Saccharomyces cerevisiae S288C: one gene and its partners. The protein of the gene in region 4 binds, or shares a complex with, the protein of the main gene of each other region. Each region holds a gene or a part of one and is shown on either strand. Other genes may lie near its edges.

Evidence for each region.
Region 1: MRPS12 (region 4) and MRPS17 share a complex: the UniProt entries of both Saccharomyces cerevisiae proteins name them as parts of the mitochondrial small ribosomal subunit.
Region 2: MRPS12 (region 4) and MRP51 share a complex: the UniProt entries of both Saccharomyces cerevisiae proteins name them as parts of the mitochondrial small ribosomal subunit.
Region 3: MRPS12 (region 4) and RSM28 share a complex: the UniProt entries of both Saccharomyces cerevisiae proteins name them as parts of the mitochondrial small ribosomal subunit.

Annotation. Positions count from the first base shown.
Region 1 is NC_001145.3:634,417-639,393, reverse strand, and holds MRPS17 (mitochondrial 37S ribosomal protein uS17m MRPS17), read left to right. Parts: upstream 1-2,389; coding exon 2,390-3,103; downstream 3,104-4,977. Other genes in the region: GCV2 (glycine decarboxylase subunit P), read right to left, coding at 1-1,894; YMR187C (uncharacterized protein), read left to right, coding at 3,410-4,705; Hsp90 family chaperone HSC82, read right to left, coding at 4,922-4,977. UniProt on the Saccharomyces cerevisiae protein: Component of the mitochondrial ribosome (mitoribosome), a dedicated translation machinery responsible for the synthesis of mitochondrial genome-encoded proteins, including at least some of the essential transmembrane subunits of the mitochondrial respiratory chain.
Region 2 is NC_001148.4:323,960-329,709, reverse strand, and holds MRP51 (mitochondrial 37S ribosomal protein bS1m MRP51), read right to left. Parts: upstream 3,083-5,750; coding exon 2,048-3,082; downstream 1-2,047. Other genes in the region: HOS3 (histone deacetylase), read right to left, coding at 1-104; isopentenyl-diphosphate delta-isomerase IDI1, read left to right, coding at 980-1,846; putative DEAD-box ATP-dependent RNA helicase DBP1, read left to right, coding at 3,446-5,299; YPL119C-A (uncharacterized protein), read left to right, coding at 5,423-5,686. UniProt on the Saccharomyces cerevisiae protein: Component of the mitochondrial ribosome (mitoribosome), a dedicated translation machinery responsible for the synthesis of mitochondrial genome-encoded proteins, including at least some of the essential transmembrane subunits of the mitochondrial respiratory chain.
Region 3 is NC_001136.10:1,434,045-1,439,531, reverse strand, and holds RSM28 (mitochondrial 37S ribosomal protein mS46 RSM28), read right to left. Parts: upstream 2,603-5,487; coding exon 1,517-2,602; downstream 1-1,516. Other genes in the region: CORVET complex subunit VPS3, read left to right, coding at 1-1,417; MZM1 (Mzm1p), read right to left, coding at 2,944-3,315; IZH1 (PAQR-type receptor), read right to left, coding at 3,658-4,608; serine/threonine protein kinase PKH1, read left to right, coding at 5,264-5,487. UniProt on the Saccharomyces cerevisiae protein: Component of the mitochondrial ribosome (mitoribosome), a dedicated translation machinery responsible for the synthesis of mitochondrial genome-encoded proteins, including at least some of the essential transmembrane subunits of the mitochondrial respiratory chain.
Region 4 is NC_001146.8:693,861-697,041, forward strand, and holds MRPS12 (mitochondrial 37S ribosomal protein uS12m MRPS12), read right to left. Parts: upstream 963-3,181; coding exon 501-962; downstream 1-500. Other genes in the region: ARC35 (Arc35p), read right to left, coding at 1-187; mitochondrial 37S ribosomal protein uS19m RSM19, read right to left, coding at 1,192-1,467; putative ATP-dependent RNA helicase DBP6, read left to right, coding at 1,735-3,181. UniProt on the Saccharomyces cerevisiae protein: Component of the mitochondrial ribosome (mitoribosome), a dedicated translation machinery responsible for the synthesis of mitochondrial genome-encoded proteins, including at least some of the essential transmembrane subunits of the mitochondrial respiratory chain.

The DNA of each region.
Region 1 (4,977 bases), on a different chromosome or scaffold from region 4:
AAGAAATACCATCGAAACCTGTAATGCTGCATAAATCTTTCTCCAACGAAGTAATTAGTTCCTTGTATCCTTGGACTTGGTTTGATGGCTGGAACGGATGGATATTCGAAAATTGGGGCCAAGTGATTGGCATCATTTCAACAGTACTGTTCAATTTCATAGTACAGGAACCTAAAGGAATCATAGAATTAGCAAGAGATAAATCACGAGATTGCAACCTATGTAAATATCTCAACATTGCTGTTTCGCTATGGTGCATGTGAAAGACTTCGTTCCTCAATATTTCATCAGTACGCTGAAATTCCCTTGGGAAACTGTTAGAATAGTCCTCAGAAAGAAACTGCGAAGAATTTTCAATGTCAAACACTTTTAGTAGATTTTCAACATCAGCTTTTGTAGTTGTTTCATCAAGAGCCAAGGAAATAGTGGTGGTGTCCACGGCAAACAAATTGATATTAAATTCTTTCAAGGCCTTGTCCAATAACTGCTCGGAGGATATGCCATTACCTAACTTTATAGTCAAAGTATCAAACCATGTTTTATTAATTAGTTCGTGAGGGCAACTGTCATTTTCGATGGCATTTGCCAATATTGATGTTAAGCTAAATATCCTCCTGGAAATATTCTGTAGGCCCTTAGGACCGTGATAAACACAGTAGCTCGAAGCAACATTAGCCAGTAAAGCTTGAGCGGTACATATATTTGAAGTTGCCTTATCACGCTTGATATGTTGTTCTCTTGTTTGGAGGGCCAACCGCAAGGCCGTCTTGCCTAAGCGGTCTTTAGAGATACCGACAATTCTACCTGGAATTTTTCTGTTTAATTTATCAATAACAGCGAAAAAAGCAGCATGAGGACCACCATAACCCATTGGGACACCAAATCGTTGAGAGGAACCCAGGACGATATCAGCACCGTAATGAGCAGGTGGTTTTAGAAGTGTCAAAGCCATTAAATCTGAGGCCACAGAGAGCAAAGACTTGTGAGAGTGTAACGCATCAGATAACTGTTTCATCGAGTCAGGCGGTAAGATTGAACCATCTGTCGCTGGATATTGAACCAAACAACCAGATACGTCGGGGTTCTTTAAAACATCCACAGCTTTCTTGATATCCGAACAGTCAACTTCAATAATTTCAATATTGAACGGCTTGGCTCTGGTGTGAAGGACACTCTTTGTTTGCTGGTGTAATTTTTTATCTATTACGTATTTTAGTTTCTTTTTTCTGGAAATATTGAATGACAAGAGCATAGCTTCTCCAGCCGCTGTACCCTCATCCAACAATGAGGCGTTCGCCACAGGCAAACCAGTCAAATCTGAAACAACCGTTTGAAAGTTTAATAGCGCTTCTAGCCTACCTTGAGAAATTTCGGGTTGATAGGGCGTATAAGAAGTATACCATTCTGGACTTTCTAGCAGGTTTCTTTGTATAACCGGTGGTAAAATCGTACCGTAGTAACCCTTACCTATGAAATTTTTAACTTTATAGTGGTTCTTATTGGCAATCTTTTCTAGATGTTGAAGCATTTCTTGTTCACAGAATCCCTTACTAGGAGCTTCTAGTTTCAAGGGTCTTCTCTTCAAAATATTGGGAGGAACGAGCTCTTCTATAAATGCGTTTAAATCGCTATAACCCATTGTTTTTAACATTTTCTTAACGTCGCTAGGAGAAGGACCTAAATGACGTCTAGCAAAAGTATCTAGCGGTCTATCAATGTTTTTCAAGTCAGGATTGAAAATCCTGCTGTACTGTGTAGACGTTATGTCTGTAGCGGCTGTTTTGAGCAAAATAGATTGAGAATGGAATGATCTAGTCCTCGCTAATGAAACATAATTGGTGCTTGACCTGACAGTAGCCCTACAAAGGAGAGCAGTCACTCTTGTCCTAAGCATGTTATCTTCCTGGTATTAGGAAACGTTTTTCCAATAAACTGTGGTTAGTTGATGGTTAGATCGCGCAGCAATCAATACAGTAAGATTGGTACACACGAGAAAGACTAATTCACTGGAACTTGAAGAGAAGAAAATTGTGCCACTCGAGCCTGCTATATATACATCCATTTATATTCGTTGGAGATCTTTCGACTAGCTTATCAAGGTCCTTCACAGCTCAATGCTGACTTCGATGACTCCTCTGAGAGTCATGACTCCGAAAAGGAGGAGTCTATACCTCAAGAAGAGTCAGAGATGTCGGGTAACGATTCAACCGGGTAACATGATTGTTATTTCATAAGATTAGAATTCTGAAGCAATTTGGGATTGTGCCAAACCAATGCGAGCATCAAACTGTTAGAGGAAATCCACAAATAAGGCCAAACAGAAGTAAACTCAGGGAGTTGAATTCGGGTTAGAGATTTCAAAAGTCAAATCAAGATCAGTTAAACTGTAATGGCTCGCCAAAATTTTTTAGGCTTGGTCGTCTCCCAAGGGAAGATGCAAAAGACGGTTAAAGTACGTGTAGAAACAAAAGTCTTTAATAAGAAAATCAACAAGGAGTTATTTCATAGAAGAGATTATTTAGTGCATGATGAAGGTGAAATATCAAGGGAGGGTGATTTAGTAAGGATAGAAGCGACGAGGCCGCTTTCAAAGAGGAAGTTTTTTGCCATTGCAGAAATTATTAGAAACAAGGGTCAACAATTTGCATTATACGAATCAGAAGCTCAGTTAAGCGTTGCAAAAGAAGAAGCCCAAAAGGCAAAAGAATTTTTGGATAAAAGATCAGTGAGGGAGAATAAACTAAATGAAAAAACAACCCTTTTACGTGATATTAGGACCATCCAAGATGCTTTATCTAGCGGGTCAACGCCGAAAGAGTTATTGGAGATTAAACAAAGGTACGGCATTCAAGATTTTTCACAAGAAACAGTGAGGCAACTTTTACAGTTAGACATCTCTGGATTGGAGGTTAATTTGGAGAAACAAAGAAGTCTCATTGATCGTATTCAAACGCGATTATCCGAATTGTTGTCGAATGATCTAAAATGTGATCAATTTTTGAAGGATCATGGTGTTGAGGATCCTTTGACCTTGAAAAAAAACATCAAAAAAAATTTGTTAAGAAAGCACGTCATGATGGATATGCAACAACCAAGCCAGTAAATAAAAGAAAGAGGAAAGCCGAGTGTCATATTTTCTCAACTAAAGCACTACACTCTGTAAATATATACAACTACAAGACTTCGTTACGTAAATAGTAAAGTGTTATGTTTTGACTTTAAAATATTCTAGTGAAAAGAACGATGTTTTTGATTTTCTATCGTTTAACGCATTTATATATTTTCAGGCAAGTGATATCGAAGATGTGAGTACATCGCTCGTCCCCATCGTCAAAAACAAAAGTAAATAAAAGAGCTCTGCTCTGATTTTACAAACAAGAAAATTCCAAGGAAATAGTCCAAGTTTTATATGACCCCACCTCATTTTTTTTTATCTCTCATAAAAAAAAGATGCATATGCTGGATATGTTTGGAAGAATCCACATATGACTCTACATGGCTACAGCACACGTGCGGTTGCAACTTACAAATTCATAAACGCTGCTATATAAGATGGCTCTATCAAATGCATGTTGAACTTTTTCTTCCGAACACAGTGGACCTACCAAAGGATGCTGATTTACCTATAATCACCTGTTTAAAATGTCTCGTTGATGGGCACCATGATTTTATGACGACTTTCTCTCTTACAGAAATATGGGAAACTCGTCCCATTTGGGGGCAAAAATCAGTACCGTTTCAAAATGACTACGTGTTCAATCTAATGTCTCTTTATACCAAACGGGATAATCATCCACCTTATGTGTTAGTGAAATTTGGCGAATGTCCTCAATGCAAGAAAACAAATTTCATAAAAAGACCTACAGTAACCATCCAGTCTTCTGTACTATCCCTGTTTTATCAGTGGCAAAAAATTACACGATACGTGATACCATTAGGGATAACTAGTTTATTTCTTTTAAACCCTGAAAAGACAAGTTTTGACATTGGATTATGGCAACTACGCTGCCTTTTCCCTGAGAATGTTCTACGAAATATGTTAAACATCAGCACTACAAAGGCATTGGACGTATATGCGCAAACTGAACGTGGCTTATTAAGCATTCCTTTAACCTCCTCGATCATAATATATGGGTTCATACATTATCTTAGCAACATTTCTAACGTCAGTGCTAATGCAATACTCTTTAAGTGGGTGTATCTCAGTATTGTAAAAACTGCTGGAAACAAATATTACAAGGGTATAGGTTTACCTAAAATAATTTTGTATTCTAACTTGGCTACATTTTGCTATAATTTTACCTTTAAAAGATTGGTTGACTTAATTTACAGGAGGCTGATCAATAAAGGAGGTAAGTATTTGTATCACGGAAATTTTGAAAACTCTAGTAATAGCGTTCCAGCTGAGGAATTTTTTATCAGGCGGAATTGGTATGCTATTCTTGCAGAAAAGATACTATGGCCCTTTGTTGGTAAATGTACAGGAGGTCTTCTATTGAATGCTTTTCTATGGATACAGAGAAAGTTTAAAATTGAATGGACGCCGAATTGCTCCCCTTCGGAATTTAGAATGATTTTCAATATTATAGGTTGTGGTACTGCTGCTATAGGCTGGTCAAGTCTGAAGCTCTATGCCAGTTACAAAAGATGTCAGGAACTTGAAAAGATCAATGAATTTATTGAACAAAGTTGCAAAGGTGAGTAAATAAGTCATTCGTAAGTGTACACTAAACTTTAAGGACAGCTGGTAGGACAATTTTATGGTCATTTGACAGCTGATGTCTTAAATTGTGTGCTATGGTTCATGTTTACATTAAGACCAACTTTTTTAAAGGCGCGTAAAGCAGAATCATTATTACAAATAGTAAAAATAAGTAAACAAATTTATATAATATATAAAACATGAAGGCGAAAAAAGAGATTAATCAACTTCTTCCATCTCGGTGTCAGCTGGAACCTCTTCAACTGGAGCTTCGG
Region 2 (5,750 bases), on a different chromosome or scaffold from region 4:
TGTGCGGCAGCTCGAGCTGCCGATATGACATTAGGGTTATTTTGAACAAATGCTTGAAATTGCTTATAAAATCTCTCCAATGGATCTGAATGCTTGGAAGACATATTATATCGTCGAATTTCTCTGTTTACTTCCAGAGCCCTTTTTTTCGTTATATTTTCAGTGACTTAAGAAGTATTGGAGAAACTGAACTGATCAACTCCACACGAAAAGAAAGTTTGTAATTTGGAAAAGGACTAGTTTTTCAAAAGAGAAGATCTGATAATAGATCAAGCGATAAAAAAATTAACAAGATCTTATTGTTCAATTCAGAAAAAAACGTAAACAAAAAATAGTTCTTCATGTTTAAAGGAAAGAGTAAAATAGTATTATCCCTTGATTAGTTGTTTACAATTCTTGAAACTTTCCCAAACTGTTGTTTACATTTCTCTAAAACAAAAATAAAAACATGAGCAGGGTAACACTCAAGGGTCCTAAAAAAATTAGGTTTTATTACAGAAATTGTATAGGACATTTTTAATATTACGAGGGTAAATAAATAACAGTCACAGAATAGTATAGGTTATTAAGGGCTTCATGCGGCTATTTTGCCTATATTAATTTCTTTTTTTTTTCTTTTTTCTTTTTTTCCGCTGCTATCGGTAAAAGTTTCCGTTCTTGCTGGAACGAAATGGACAAAACTTAATTGTGATTGAAATTTTTCCAGTCAACAGTTTCGCAATGACGATGCCCAGCCGATTCTTTTCCCTTTAATTGTTATTAAGAAACATGATTATTCATAACTCTTTTCTTGTCGATGGGGGTTGCCTTTCTTTTTCGGTCTTAACTCCATTTATATTTATTTATTCATTTTTATCTATTTAACAGGAAACAGTTTTCTAGTGACAAGAAGGCGTATATCCCACTTAATTCAATATTAGAGTATTCGTATTTGGAATACAGGAAGAGTAAAAATAAGCCAAAAATTCATTACACCTCAATGACTGCCGACAACAATAGTATGCCCCATGGTGCAGTATCTAGTTACGCCAAATTAGTGCAAAACCAAACACCTGAAGACATTTTGGAAGAGTTTCCTGAAATTATTCCATTACAACAAAGACCTAATACCCGATCTAGTGAGACGTCAAATGACGAAAGCGGAGAAACATGTTTTTCTGGTCATGATGAGGAGCAAATTAAGTTAATGAATGAAAATTGTATTGTTTTGGATTGGGACGATAATGCTATTGGTGCCGGTACCAAGAAAGTTTGTCATTTAATGGAAAATATTGAAAAGGGTTTACTACATCGTGCATTCTCCGTCTTTATTTTCAATGAACAAGGTGAATTACTTTTACAACAAAGAGCCACTGAAAAAATAACTTTCCCTGATCTTTGGACTAACACATGCTGCTCTCATCCACTATGTATTGATGACGAATTAGGTTTGAAGGGTAAGCTAGACGATAAGATTAAGGGCGCTATTACTGCGGCGGTGAGAAAACTAGATCATGAATTAGGTATTCCAGAAGATGAAACTAAGACAAGGGGTAAGTTTCACTTTTTAAACAGAATCCATTACATGGCACCAAGCAATGAACCATGGGGTGAACATGAAATTGATTACATCCTATTTTATAAGATCAACGCTAAAGAAAACTTGACTGTCAACCCAAACGTCAATGAAGTTAGAGACTTCAAATGGGTTTCACCAAATGATTTGAAAACTATGTTTGCTGACCCAAGTTACAAGTTTACGCCTTGGTTTAAGATTATTTGCGAGAATTACTTATTCAACTGGTGGGAGCAATTAGATGACCTTTCTGAAGTGGAAAATGACAGGCAAATTCATAGAATGCTATAACAACGCGTCAATAATATAGGCTACATAAAAATCATAATAACTTTGTTATCATAGCAAAATGTGATATAAAACGTTTCATTTCACCTGAAAAATAGTAAAAATAGGCGACAAAAATCCTTAGTAATATGTAAACTTTATTTTCTTTATTTATTTACAGAACTCTGAATATACATTGATTGTTCACATTTTTTTTTTCTCTTCTCAATTTCCCTTGATTATATTCAAAAGGTTATTGGCCTCTTGAATGTTTCCCACTGATGGTCGACGTGCCCTTCTAGAGGTCAATGGTTTATAAATTGGTCTCTTATTGAAAAATTCTCTGGTCTTGTCATTTTGTGGTTCGAGTAATCTAGCGTGCATCGAAACAGAACCATTTTTCTCCATAGATGCCTCCAAGATCTCGAACAAGAACGTTTTCATTCTGATGAAATCTCCCATGGAGTTAAAGGAACTAGGTGGTGATTGGAAAAATACCACATCGGCCACAAACCCACCAATAGCTGCCAGCCATTTATTGTCGTTGTTCTCCTTAACAACGTTCAAGATTCTACCGGGTACTACAGTCCTTTGAATGACACCATTTGGTGAGTTTTTTAGCTTTCCTGGCAAGCTGTATGATAATCCACCTGTACCAATGATTTCAGTGTTAAATTTTTTATTCGTTTTTGTTTCCAACTTTTTGTTTAGAAACTTCACTACATAGTCTTCCAGCTTATTAGAATTCAATTTCAATTCATCCGGATGATTTTCCACCAGCCACTCTTTAAATTCATCTTGAAACGATCTAATTAGTGCTGTTATCTTCTTCAAACGCTTCTTCATAGCAGCAGGCGAAATATCTGTATCTCCTTTCATTTCTTTGAATAAGGACAATTTAGCATGAGACTCATCCTCAGGACGAGATATGTACTTGAAAAATGGATTTTGTCTGCCTATATTAGACACAATTGGTACTCCCATTTCTTGAAATCTTAGCCTATTCCATTGCGTACCGCCTCTAGGTTCGAATGTGGTAATTCTTTCCAACGTATCCAAATCGTTGTACACCAAATATCGAGATTTAATTTTCGAAGGAATAGCGGATTTCAACCCCCATTCTTGTCTGTATAGTGTCGATGGCTTAGTTTCGATGATTTGATGTGTTGGATGAAATTTTTTGCCAGTGTATGTCAATGGTTTATGATTGTTAGCTACTTGAGCTATTCTCGACCGTCCAAGCAACTCTGCCAATGTCATTTCGTTCAATTTTTTCTAAAATAAAGAAAAAGAAAAAGAAAAATGATCGAAACAGTCTCACCAAGGGTTGTAGCAAATGTCTGTATGATTTTTTTTCTTCATCACGGCACCTATTCGTATTGCTCCTTTAACTCTACATCTAAGTTCTTCATTCTTTGATTTCTCAAAACAAATATCACTGTCAACGTAAATATTACCCCGCGAGTTCTTTAACAATTTTAAGGGAAGGTTACTTAAGGTCATCTCTGAAGTAATGCCTTTATTTTATAACAAGGATTATTCATGATTATAAAAGATATCGGTAGTGTCAGTTAAAGGATATTTTAAGAAAAACCCCTTTGAGTGAAAGTATTACAAGAAAAAATGGCAGACTTGCCACAGAAGGTATCTAATTTAAGCATCAACAACAAAGAGAATGGTGGTGGTGGCGGCAAATCATCTTATGTCCCACCGCACTTGAGAAGTAGAGGAAAACCATCATTCGAAAGAAGTACCCCAAAACAGGAAGATAAGGTTACGGGTGGTGATTTTTTCAGACGTGCTGGAAGGCAAACTGGGAACAATGGCGGGTTTTTTGGCTTTTCTAAGGAAAGAAATGGAGGGACGAGTGCGAACTATAACCGCGGAGGCAGCTCAAATTACAAATCATCTGGAAATAGATGGGTAAATGGCAAGCATATACCGGGGCCTAAGAACGCGAAATTAGAAGCCGAACTGTTTGGTGTACACGACGATCCCGATTACCATTCATCTGGTATAAAGTTTGATAATTACGATAATATTCCCGTAGATGCATCTGGAAAAGATGTTCCTGAACCTATACTAGATTTTAGTTCTCCCCCTCTGGATGAGCTGTTAATGGAAAATATCAAACTTGCTAGTTTCACCAAACCTACTCCAGTACAAAAATATTCTATTCCAATAGTTACCAAAGGTAGGGATTTGATGGCATGCGCACAAACGGGCTCAGGTAAGACAGGTGGGTTTTTGTTTCCGCTCTTCACGGAGCTATTCAGGTCTGGGCCCTCTCCAGTACCCGAGAAAGCACAGAGCTTTTATTCTAGAAAGGGATATCCATCTGCTTTAGTACTTGCACCAACTAGAGAATTGGCTACCCAAATTTTTGAAGAAGCAAGAAAATTTACGTATAGATCTTGGGTTAGGCCATGCGTTGTTTATGGTGGCGCGCCAATCGGTAACCAGATGAGGGAGGTTGACCGCGGCTGTGACTTATTGGTGGCTACACCAGGGCGGCTGAATGACTTATTAGAACGCGGAAAAGTTTCTTTGGCTAATATCAAATACCTGGTATTGGATGAGGCTGATAGAATGCTAGATATGGGATTCGAACCCCAAATTCGCCATATAGTTGAAGAATGTGATATGCCCTCTGTGGAAAATAGACAGACCTTGATGTTTTCCGCCACATTCCCAGTAGATATCCAGCATTTGGCACGCGATTTCTTAGATAATTATATTTTTTTATCAGTAGGAAGAGTCGGTTCCACCTCAGAAAATATCACGCAAAGAATATTATATGTCGATGACATGGACAAAAAGTCTGCGTTGTTAGATTTACTGTCTGCAGAGCATAAGGGATTGACATTGATTTTTGTTGAAACGAAAAGAATGGCGGATCAACTCACAGATTTTTTGATCATGCAAAATTTCAAAGCTACAGCCATACATGGTGACCGCACACAGGCTGAACGTGAACGTGCCTTATCTGCTTTCAAAGCTAACGTAGCTGATATCCTGGTCGCAACAGCTGTAGCAGCGAGAGGTTTGGATATACCGAATGTCACACATGTCATTAATTATGATTTGCCCTCCGACATCGATGACTACGTTCACAGAATTGGTAGAACAGGCCGTGCTGGTAACACAGGCGTGGCTACTTCATTCTTCAATAGTAATAATCAGAATATTGTGAAGGGTTTGATGGAAATTTTAAATGAAGCGAATCAAGAAGTTCCCACGTTTTTAAGTGACCTGTCAAGACAGAATTCAAGAGGTGGAAGAACTAGGGGAGGAGGAGGTTTTTTCAATAGTCGTAATAACGGTTCAAGAGACTACCGTAAACATGGTGGAAATGGCTCATTTGGGAGCACGAGGCCAAGGAATACTGGAACATCAAATTGGGGTTCGATTGGAGGTGGGTTTAGAAATGATAATGAGAAAAACGGTTACGGAAATAGCAACGCTTCATGGTGGTAAGCAGAAAGAATAAAAGACTAATCCAAATATAGAACTCCTTTAATTTTTTTCTTTTTATTAATCTCCCTTTTTCCTTTCTTTATCTCTTCGTTTTCACTCCAGTACTATACAGTCATACGTTTTATGCATCCATTAGTCGATGAATTGACTCTTTCACGCTACTTGACCCACGGTACTTCAGTTTTATCAAGTTCCCTTTATTCTGTTGCTTTCTTTCTCTTTTTTTTTCCCAATTTCCTTTTTTTTTGCTCTTGTCCCAATCATAAATGGGTGAGTTTACCGTTTATTGGAATGGATATTTTGGAAGCCCTTTGTTTTTATAGAGAGGGAAAAATACGGAATATTTTTGAAATAGGTGGTCTATTACTTCAGAGTTTTTATAATTAAATCTTGAATTTTGCAATTTGGAAGCAAAATATTCATTGCCGGAGAAGGAGTTATTATTATACGT
Region 3 (5,487 bases), on a different chromosome or scaffold from region 4:
AATGAAAAAGTGGTGTGACTTTTCTGACAAAGTTGACATCAGAATATTATTTTATATGTTTGGCTGGAAAGTCTATAGCGAGATCTGGTGCTTCCATGGGTTAATAAATATAGTTGAAAGGTTGAAAAGCTTGAAGCTAACTAACAAATGCGAGAATATTCTAAAAATGCTTCTGATGATGAAGAATGAACTAAAGAAAAAGAATAAAACTGGACTCTTAACGAATGACTTTGATGATATAATGAAAACTATTGATATAACTTTATTCAAATTAAGATTGGAAAAAAAGGAAACTATAACTGTTGATATGTTTGAACGCGAAAGTTACGACGAAATTATCAGAGAGATTAATTTACATGATGATAAACTTCCTAGGATAGAGTTACTAATTGAGATATATAAAGAAAAAGGGGAATATCTTAAAGCACTAAATCTTTTGAGGGAAGCTGGGGATTACATTTCACTAGTTTCATTCATTGAAGAAAATCTCAAAAAACTTCCTGAGGATTATATCAAAGAAAGAATAGCCGATGATCTTCTCCTCACTCTTAAACAAGGCGACGAAAATACTGAGGAATGCGCCATCAAAAAGGTTCTTAAAATATTGGACATGGCATGTATTAATAAAAACGACTTTTTAAACAAAATACCCGCAGAAGAAACATCCCTGAAGGTATCATTCATAGAACAACTCGGTGTCCAAAACAGCAACGATTCCAAATTTCTCTTTAACTATTATTTGGCGAAATTGCGAGAAATAATCAACCAAAGTAACATATGGTCCATTCTTGGAGATTTTATCAAAGAGTACAAAGACGATTTCGCGTATGATAAGACAGATATAACAAATTTTATTCATATCAAATTAAAGCATAGTCTTCAGTGCGAAAATTTTTCCAAATATTATGAAAAATGTGAAAACTTGAAATCGGAAAATGAAAAAGATGATGAGTTTATTAATTTCACCTTCGACGAAATTTCCAAGATCGATAAAGAACACATATTGACCTTGTTATTTTTCCCCAATGAATTAACAAACTGGGTTTCTTCCGAAGAATTGCTGAAAATATATTTGTCATTTAATGATTTCAGAAGTGTAGAAAAATACATAGGCAAGCAGAACTTGGTTGCGGTGATGAAACAATACTTGGACATATCTTCTTTGAATTACTCAGTTGAATTAGTGACTAATTTGCTACAGAGAAATTTTGAACTTTTAGATGATACAGATATTCAATTAAAGATCCTCGAAACTATACCTTCCGTATTTCCCGTACAAACAATATCCGAATTGCTTTTAAAGGTACTTATTAAGTATCAAGAAAAGAAGGAGGAATCTAATTTGCGGAAATGTTTGTTGAAAAATCAAATATCCATTTCTGACGAACTAAGCCGGAATTTTGATAGTCAAGGATAAGAAGAGCCCACCTATTCTTTTTCTGTTCAGGCATACAATTCAAATTTTATACGTACTAGATATTTACAGGTATGTAAGAATGAAATAACGATGTTTGATTTACTGTTGTAATTCAGAAATTGGTTTCATTCCAGAACAAACATCATATACCAATTTCTTTTCCTCGGAGCCCATAACAACAGATTGTAATGATAACCTCACAACTTGACTATTTTGTACGAGCTTACTCACAGTATCTTTAGATTTCGTCAGTTTTTCAAAATCTTTTTTCACATATGGTTTTAAGAGTTGATATTCTCCTGTTACTTGCCTATGAAAATCTTCTGGGTCTTCTTCAATAAGTAAATTCTGCAATTGAGGCTCTTTGGCAAAAATCAAGGAGGATCCTGGTGTATATTTACCAAAGTTTGGCGTGTTTAGGGTGAAATCATGTACTTTGAGGATTCCCAAATTTGGCGATCTGTAAATGGGGTAATTGGATTTTTTCAAGCTATCTAAGGTAAAGTTGACTAATCTGGATTCCTTTGTTGGAAAAACTTGAGGAGTATATTCTAACAAAGATAAAGGAGTGGGCTCTTCTAGTACATATTCTGAACTGACAGGTCTCTTGATAACCTTCTGTAGCTGCTGTTGAGGAGCCTTTCTCCTTTTAGATGCTGTTAAGATATGACTCTTTTTTTGAAACCTTGCTTTAGATTTGGGGGTTCCATTGAAATTAACAGGTTTTTGCTCCATCGACGAATTGAAGACATCAAGTAAATCATCTTCGACTCTCGCATCTCCTTTCAAATTATTTTTGCCATTCTGCATCTTTTTGAACTGTGGCTGCATAACTACTGTATTTCCAGTAGGATTCTTTACAAAAGACGTATTAGCACCTTTATTCCACTGCTGCTTGTTAGCACGAACAGAATCACTAGAACGGTTTTTCAGTCTCATGTTTCTTTCTCCTTGATTTCCCTCTCTACCCCTGCTTTCTTTATTGTTCATACTATTCCTATTCTGATTCCCGTTTCTCCTCTTATTTTGCATTCTACCCTCCTTCATCTTGTCCAATTTGAGAGCATTGGAGGAAGCTTTTGCTGTTGCCTCTTGAGCCCTTGCTAGAATGCTATTTATGAAATCTTCTGTGACACTTGTGCTGTAATGAGCGCGACTCACACATCTAAACATGGAGGAGCGCATTTTCTACTCCGTCTATTTCTCTTATTATGGCTCGTCCAACTAGATTATTTAATGAGTTACCGCTGCCCTTTTCCTCTTTTATGCTTTCTCCAGTTTCGTTAAGTTTAATTCCGCTATAAAGCTTTGTTCATTTCCGTCAAAAGGGATAAAGCACTAGCAACTACGCTGTTTCAGTAGCACATCAAATACAACAAGCTGTATACATGTACATACTACAAACAGAACAAATGCAACGATATATCGTGCTAAATCAGTTTATATGCCACCTAGCAAAGTTGCTAGGTACTAAAAAAGTATTTACATGTATATAGCTTCGAAGATAAAACAAAATCAAGGCATTATCATTGCTTTTTATCAGAGCATTTAAATGGTCTTGCCTTTAAGTTTGTTTTCACTCTTGCCGTAGGGTCTGCAATCGTCTCATTGTCACCCAATTCGGTGTCTTTGTGAATGTTCAAATGGTACCTAGGCTCCTTAGTACTTGAGCCATCAACCTTTTTGCCCTGAACCAGGTTTCGTCTCAAAAAAACAGCCACATCCTCTAAATGTTGAATCTGATCCTCTGTGGTGAGTTTAGGATCTGGGGGACATAACATTCCTGAACGCATTTTAGCTCTCGCGGCTAGTAATACTTCAGCATCATTCCGGAAAGCTATTCGGGTTGCTCTTAAGCCATGCCTGTATGCATTCAGGGCCTTTGTTCTCGTGCTCATAGTGTGTTAAATTTATATAATTTGTTCTTTTTATTCTCTTCAGTGAAACGCAAGCGTACCGAAAAATATAAGGAAGTCTTTTAGTCCTATCCTTTTCTCTTCCTCTCTTTCCTTTGTAGTAGGTTCACTTATTCAAACGTTTAATTTTTCGGCATTACTCACTTTAGTAAGACCAAAATTAATTAGGCTAATATAGCGAAGTACCTGTCAAAATGCGATCTATGATAAAAGCATGATGTGACGAATATCTAAAAAGGAATAAAGACTTTTTTTGCATTTAATTATTTTCTAACCTTAGATATATAATGTTATTTATTTGATTTTGTAGTAGTTGTAGGCCCATCAAGGGTGGATATGAGAATGCATTAATTTGTAAGAATCGATAATGGCTTTCAAGTGGCATACAGAACCAAGAACCACCATAATATGAAATATTTGATGAGAGCTACCGAAGAAATCGAACTTCCCTGGAGCCAAAGTTTCAGGAATCCTAAACCCGTAGATTACAGCCCCTGAAATGTAAAAGAGAGCTTCCCAAAACACAAAGCTGACTTTTATTCTGTTAAGAACCCCTTGGATACCGAACTTGAAAAACCCTGTGGTCAATGGGAGTAAGCCACTAAATCCAAACAATATGAAAAACATGGCCCTAAATGGACGAAATGTGGAAGTGTTAAACTTGTCGTGGAGGACACAGACTGTACAAAATGTTGCCAGGACTAAAGTAACAATCGTGAAAAGACTGAAGTAGGATATGTGGTCGAAGTAACCAAAGTATATTATAGGGATCATAGAACAGGAAATCAAACTGATAATCCCCAAGTAGTCGAGCTTGCTCCAGAAATTGCTTTGCTTTTCAGAGTGTTGCTTCATGCAGTGGAAACAGCTACTGCACATGAGACATGAGAAAGCGCCCATCAAGAAAATGTTTATAACGGTGTAATCGGACCAGGAAGTGGAGGGGAAAACGGGAATTAGAAAGTAGTTGGTCAACGTAATGGCAAACACGAAGTATACGATAGCCGGTACCAAATGTGTATAAATGTTCACAGTCTCGTTGTTCCAATAAAATAAAGAATATAAGCACTTTTTCCATGACAGTGTTTCACGAACGTACCCGGTGAGAATTTTGTCATTATCTTTTTGCCATTCTGGCAACTCATCGAAATTGTGTAGCAGTTTTTGCTTTTCAAAAACTGTCTGGCCTGAGACAGCTTCCACCTTAATGGAGGCTCTCGTTGCCTTGCAGCAGACACTATCTTGGTTTCTTCTTCTAGTAGTGGTGATACTCATTTTTTTTCTTCTTTTATCTTGCTTGACTCAATTAAGGCGACTAATAACAAAACGAATGACGAAAATGGAAAACAATAGAAAAGTTAGGAACCAGAATCACTTTTGTAAAGTTAATATTGCGCTTGCGGAGCTCCTTACTGTTTCAACTGATGATACTGATATGCCTTTAGAAAAGAAATCAAATTCTATTAACAGAAGGGTGCCAACATGTACGTATATATATATGTGTGCGTGTGTATATATGTCTGACATATACATGAGTAACCGGCTAAGTAAGGTTTTTACGTTGATTGCTGCATCCATCGGTCGTGAGTATTGTCAAATTGCCGATGCCCTGCAGGCAAAAAAACCGTTGAAAAATCGTTGGGAAAATGGGCTTGCCCGACTGTCGGATTTAAGGGCTTGGACCCTAAAGGTTGCATGATAAGACCTACTTATTTTAGCATATAACCCTATAAAGGTGAAAATCTCAGTAGGGTTATTTTCGTTTAAGGGAGCATGAAAAATTCAAGTTAGTACATATTAATGGCTTTGAGATATTGCGGAGTGACAACAAGAGTAATACAGAGCAGGCGAGAAAGTAACGCTGGACAGTCACTATCTGGTACAACTTGCGCACGTGTACTTGCTTGAATACTGCTACTATATCATTAATATGGGAAATAGGTCTTTGACAGAGGCAGACCACGCCCTGCTGTCCAAGCCCTTGGTACCGACATCTGCGGAACATACACAAACGCAAGAGTATCCTCGTCCTTTCGTAGATGGCAGCAATTCTCAGAGCGGGTCTGAACTACAGGCTTCTCCACAAGGTCAGTTTGGAGAAAAGGCATTGACTAGTACTAATCGCTTCATTCCCCTGGCAAATGATGACCCGGG
Region 4 (3,181 bases):
AAGCTTTGGTCTTAACACTCAACAACAGAATGGACTTATCTTCTGCTGTGTTTGAAATGTGGTAGGTGGTATAGTCGAAATCGGAAACAATTCTGTCCATGGTCAACGGCGAACCCTTGCGAAGTGCCTCTATCGCTTCATTCAGTGTCTTTTGGATGAGAAGGTTTTGTGGTTGTAAGTGTAGCATTGCGGATTACCGTTTTGAGGCAAGAAGATTGCTAGTCTTGTATCTACACTAGTTCCTTTGAACGCTAGTTAGCCCCTATGCTTATAGTATTTCTTGTCAATACAAGCGTCTGAAAATTCAGATCGCTTTATACGAGTAAGTATGCCAAATACACCAAATATACCAAAGCATTGATTGCGTATACTGAGAATACATATATATATATATATATATATATATGTATGGTCATTGCTATTTACAAAAGGTTGTATGGAGTGGGAATATTAGAGAAAAGTAGTCGAGAGGCCAAAGAAAACTTAGAGCGTACTGCGCATCACGATTTACTTGGCTTCTTGGCTCCATATTTCGACCTCGAAGAAATCCTGTTTACCACACCACTCAGGTCACCAGCACCTCTGATAACATGGTACTTCACACCAGGCAAGTCCTGACAACGCCCACCTCTGACATATACAATCGAATGCTCTTGAGCATCGTGGCCCTCACCCGGTATATATGCAGATACCACGTTCCCGTTAGTCAAACGGACCCTGCACGCCTTTCTCTGCGCAGAATTCGGCTTCTTGGGCTTTAAAACCATTACACGTAATACGACACCCTTCCGCTGGGGACACTGATCCAGTTGTGGAGCTGTACTTATCTTCTTGCGTCTTGGAGGCCCGGAGCCTCTTTTAATCTGATTCAATGTCGCTTGCATTGTCGTAGTGGAGGAAAACAATCTCTGCGCCTGTCTCAAGGGCGTACACCATGTGTTGGACATAAACCTCGACAACATGGCTCTTGTTGGCCTGCTTCAATTCTGGTGTACCTGTAAGTTCTCCGTCTTTTCCCTGGTTATATGCGTTTTTTCTCCCCAAATCGTTTTGTCGCTCGGGTAAGACTGAAATGCTTTTAAAAGCACTATTACTGTTTATTATGCTATATATATATATATATACAGCCCGAGTCTGGCTTGATCTTATTTACATGATATATCATCTAGAAATCTATATACACTAGATCCCTCATTTGTTCTTGGTTTGAGTATAGCTGAAACGCTTCCTGGTAGGTGCGAACTCGCCCAGTTTGTGGCCCACCATATCTTCTGATATTTCAATAGGTACGTACTCCTTACCATTGTGTATTTGAAATTTCAGTCCCACGAACTGAGGAAGGATGGTGGCGGCCCTTGCGTTTGTTCTTATTGGAGTGCCCTTAGTCATGGCCTCCCTTATGGGTAATGGCACGATGTTGGGGCCCTTCCATACGGACCGCGATAAAAGTCTAGCTGCCGGTTGCATTTTATTTTTGGTGGACACTACTTCTGCCGATGCTGTACTGCTCTTGCAATGAACCTCACCGTTTTAAGTCATGGTTAGATTCTTACTAGGCGCTTCCAATTGCCATTTCTTGCTCAGCCATAACCGTGAATAGTGATCCAAACGCTAATGCCGGGTGATGCTTAAAATTTGAAAAATTATTGCAGATTTGTATTATATAGAAAGCATAACTGGCGATGAGATGTGCTCGAAACTGGACACCTTTACCATTGGTGACCGGTAGTGACAATGTTTGCATCGAGATTTGACCCTAGCCAATTGACTGCTCCTGCAGCTAGCGCACCAGAAGGAATCGTCGGAACTACTCCCCCGGCCATTGTGCCTTTAAAGAGGCAGGCTACTGAATCTGATAATGAAGAATATGGCTCTCACCAAGATTCTGATGAGAGTTCCAACTCTAGTTCAGAGGAAGACGAAGACCGTATGCAAGTAGATTATGGGGCTAGTGAAGAGGATTCGAGTGAAGTGGAAGAGGAAGAGAGTAAGCCAAGTACTCACAGCACAGTGCTATCGAGATTCAAGCAAACAGTATCATTGCAAGAAAGGCTAGGTGCATCTGATATTGCTGAGAGTAAGGAAGACGAAGGTATTGAAGACGAGGCGGCCTCAACTCACCAACTAAAACAGATTCCTCAACCTGAATTCGTCAAAAACCCAATGAATTTGAATACAAATTCATTACAGTTCAAATCTACGGGTTGGTTAAATACTGAGAAGATATATTATGATAATTCCTTGATCAAACCGTTCTCGGATTACGCAAATGAATTAGAAGCAAAACTACTGCAGAATATTTGCAAGAATTTCTCTACAAACACTTTTCCCATCCAATCGATCATCCTAGACTCCATATTACCGGTATTGAACTTCACGTTGAACGTATCTAAGAGAAACTTCACCAGAAGAATCGGTGATATTCTTGTAAATGCTGCTACCGGTTCAGGTAAAACTTTGGCTTACTCCATTCCTATTGTTCAAACCCTCTTCAAGAGACAAATTAACAGACTGCGTTGTATAATCATCGTCCCCACAAAACTATTGATAAACCAAGTTTATACTACGTTGACAAAGCTAACTCAAGGGACGTCGCTTATTGTGAGCATTGCCAAATTAGAAAATTCTTTGAAGGACGAACACAAAAAATTATCAAATTTGGAACCAGATATCTTAATCACTACACCTGGTAGATTAGTAGATCATCTAAATATGAAATCGATAAATTTGAAAAACCTAAAGTTTTTGATTATCGATGAGGCTGATCGTCTTTTGAACCAGTCCTTCCAGGGCTGGTGTCCAAAACTAATGTCCCATTTGAAAACGGATAAATTAGATACACTTCCAGGGAACGTGATCAAAATGATCTTCAGTGCGACATTGACTACCAACACAGAAAAGTTAAACGGCTTGAACCTTTACAAACCAAAGTTGTTCCTGAAGCAAACCGATAAATTGTACCAGCTACCTAACAAATTGAATGAATTTAACATCAACATTCCCACGGCGAAAAGTGTTTACAAGCCATTGATATTGTTGTATTCAATATGCCAATTTATGGCACATTCCCCCATTGCTGCAAAGATTTTGATTTTCGTTAAATCAAATGAATCGTCTATCAGATTAAGCAAGTTACTACAACTTATCTGTGAATCTCGCTCACAATCCAGCGTATTGAAAA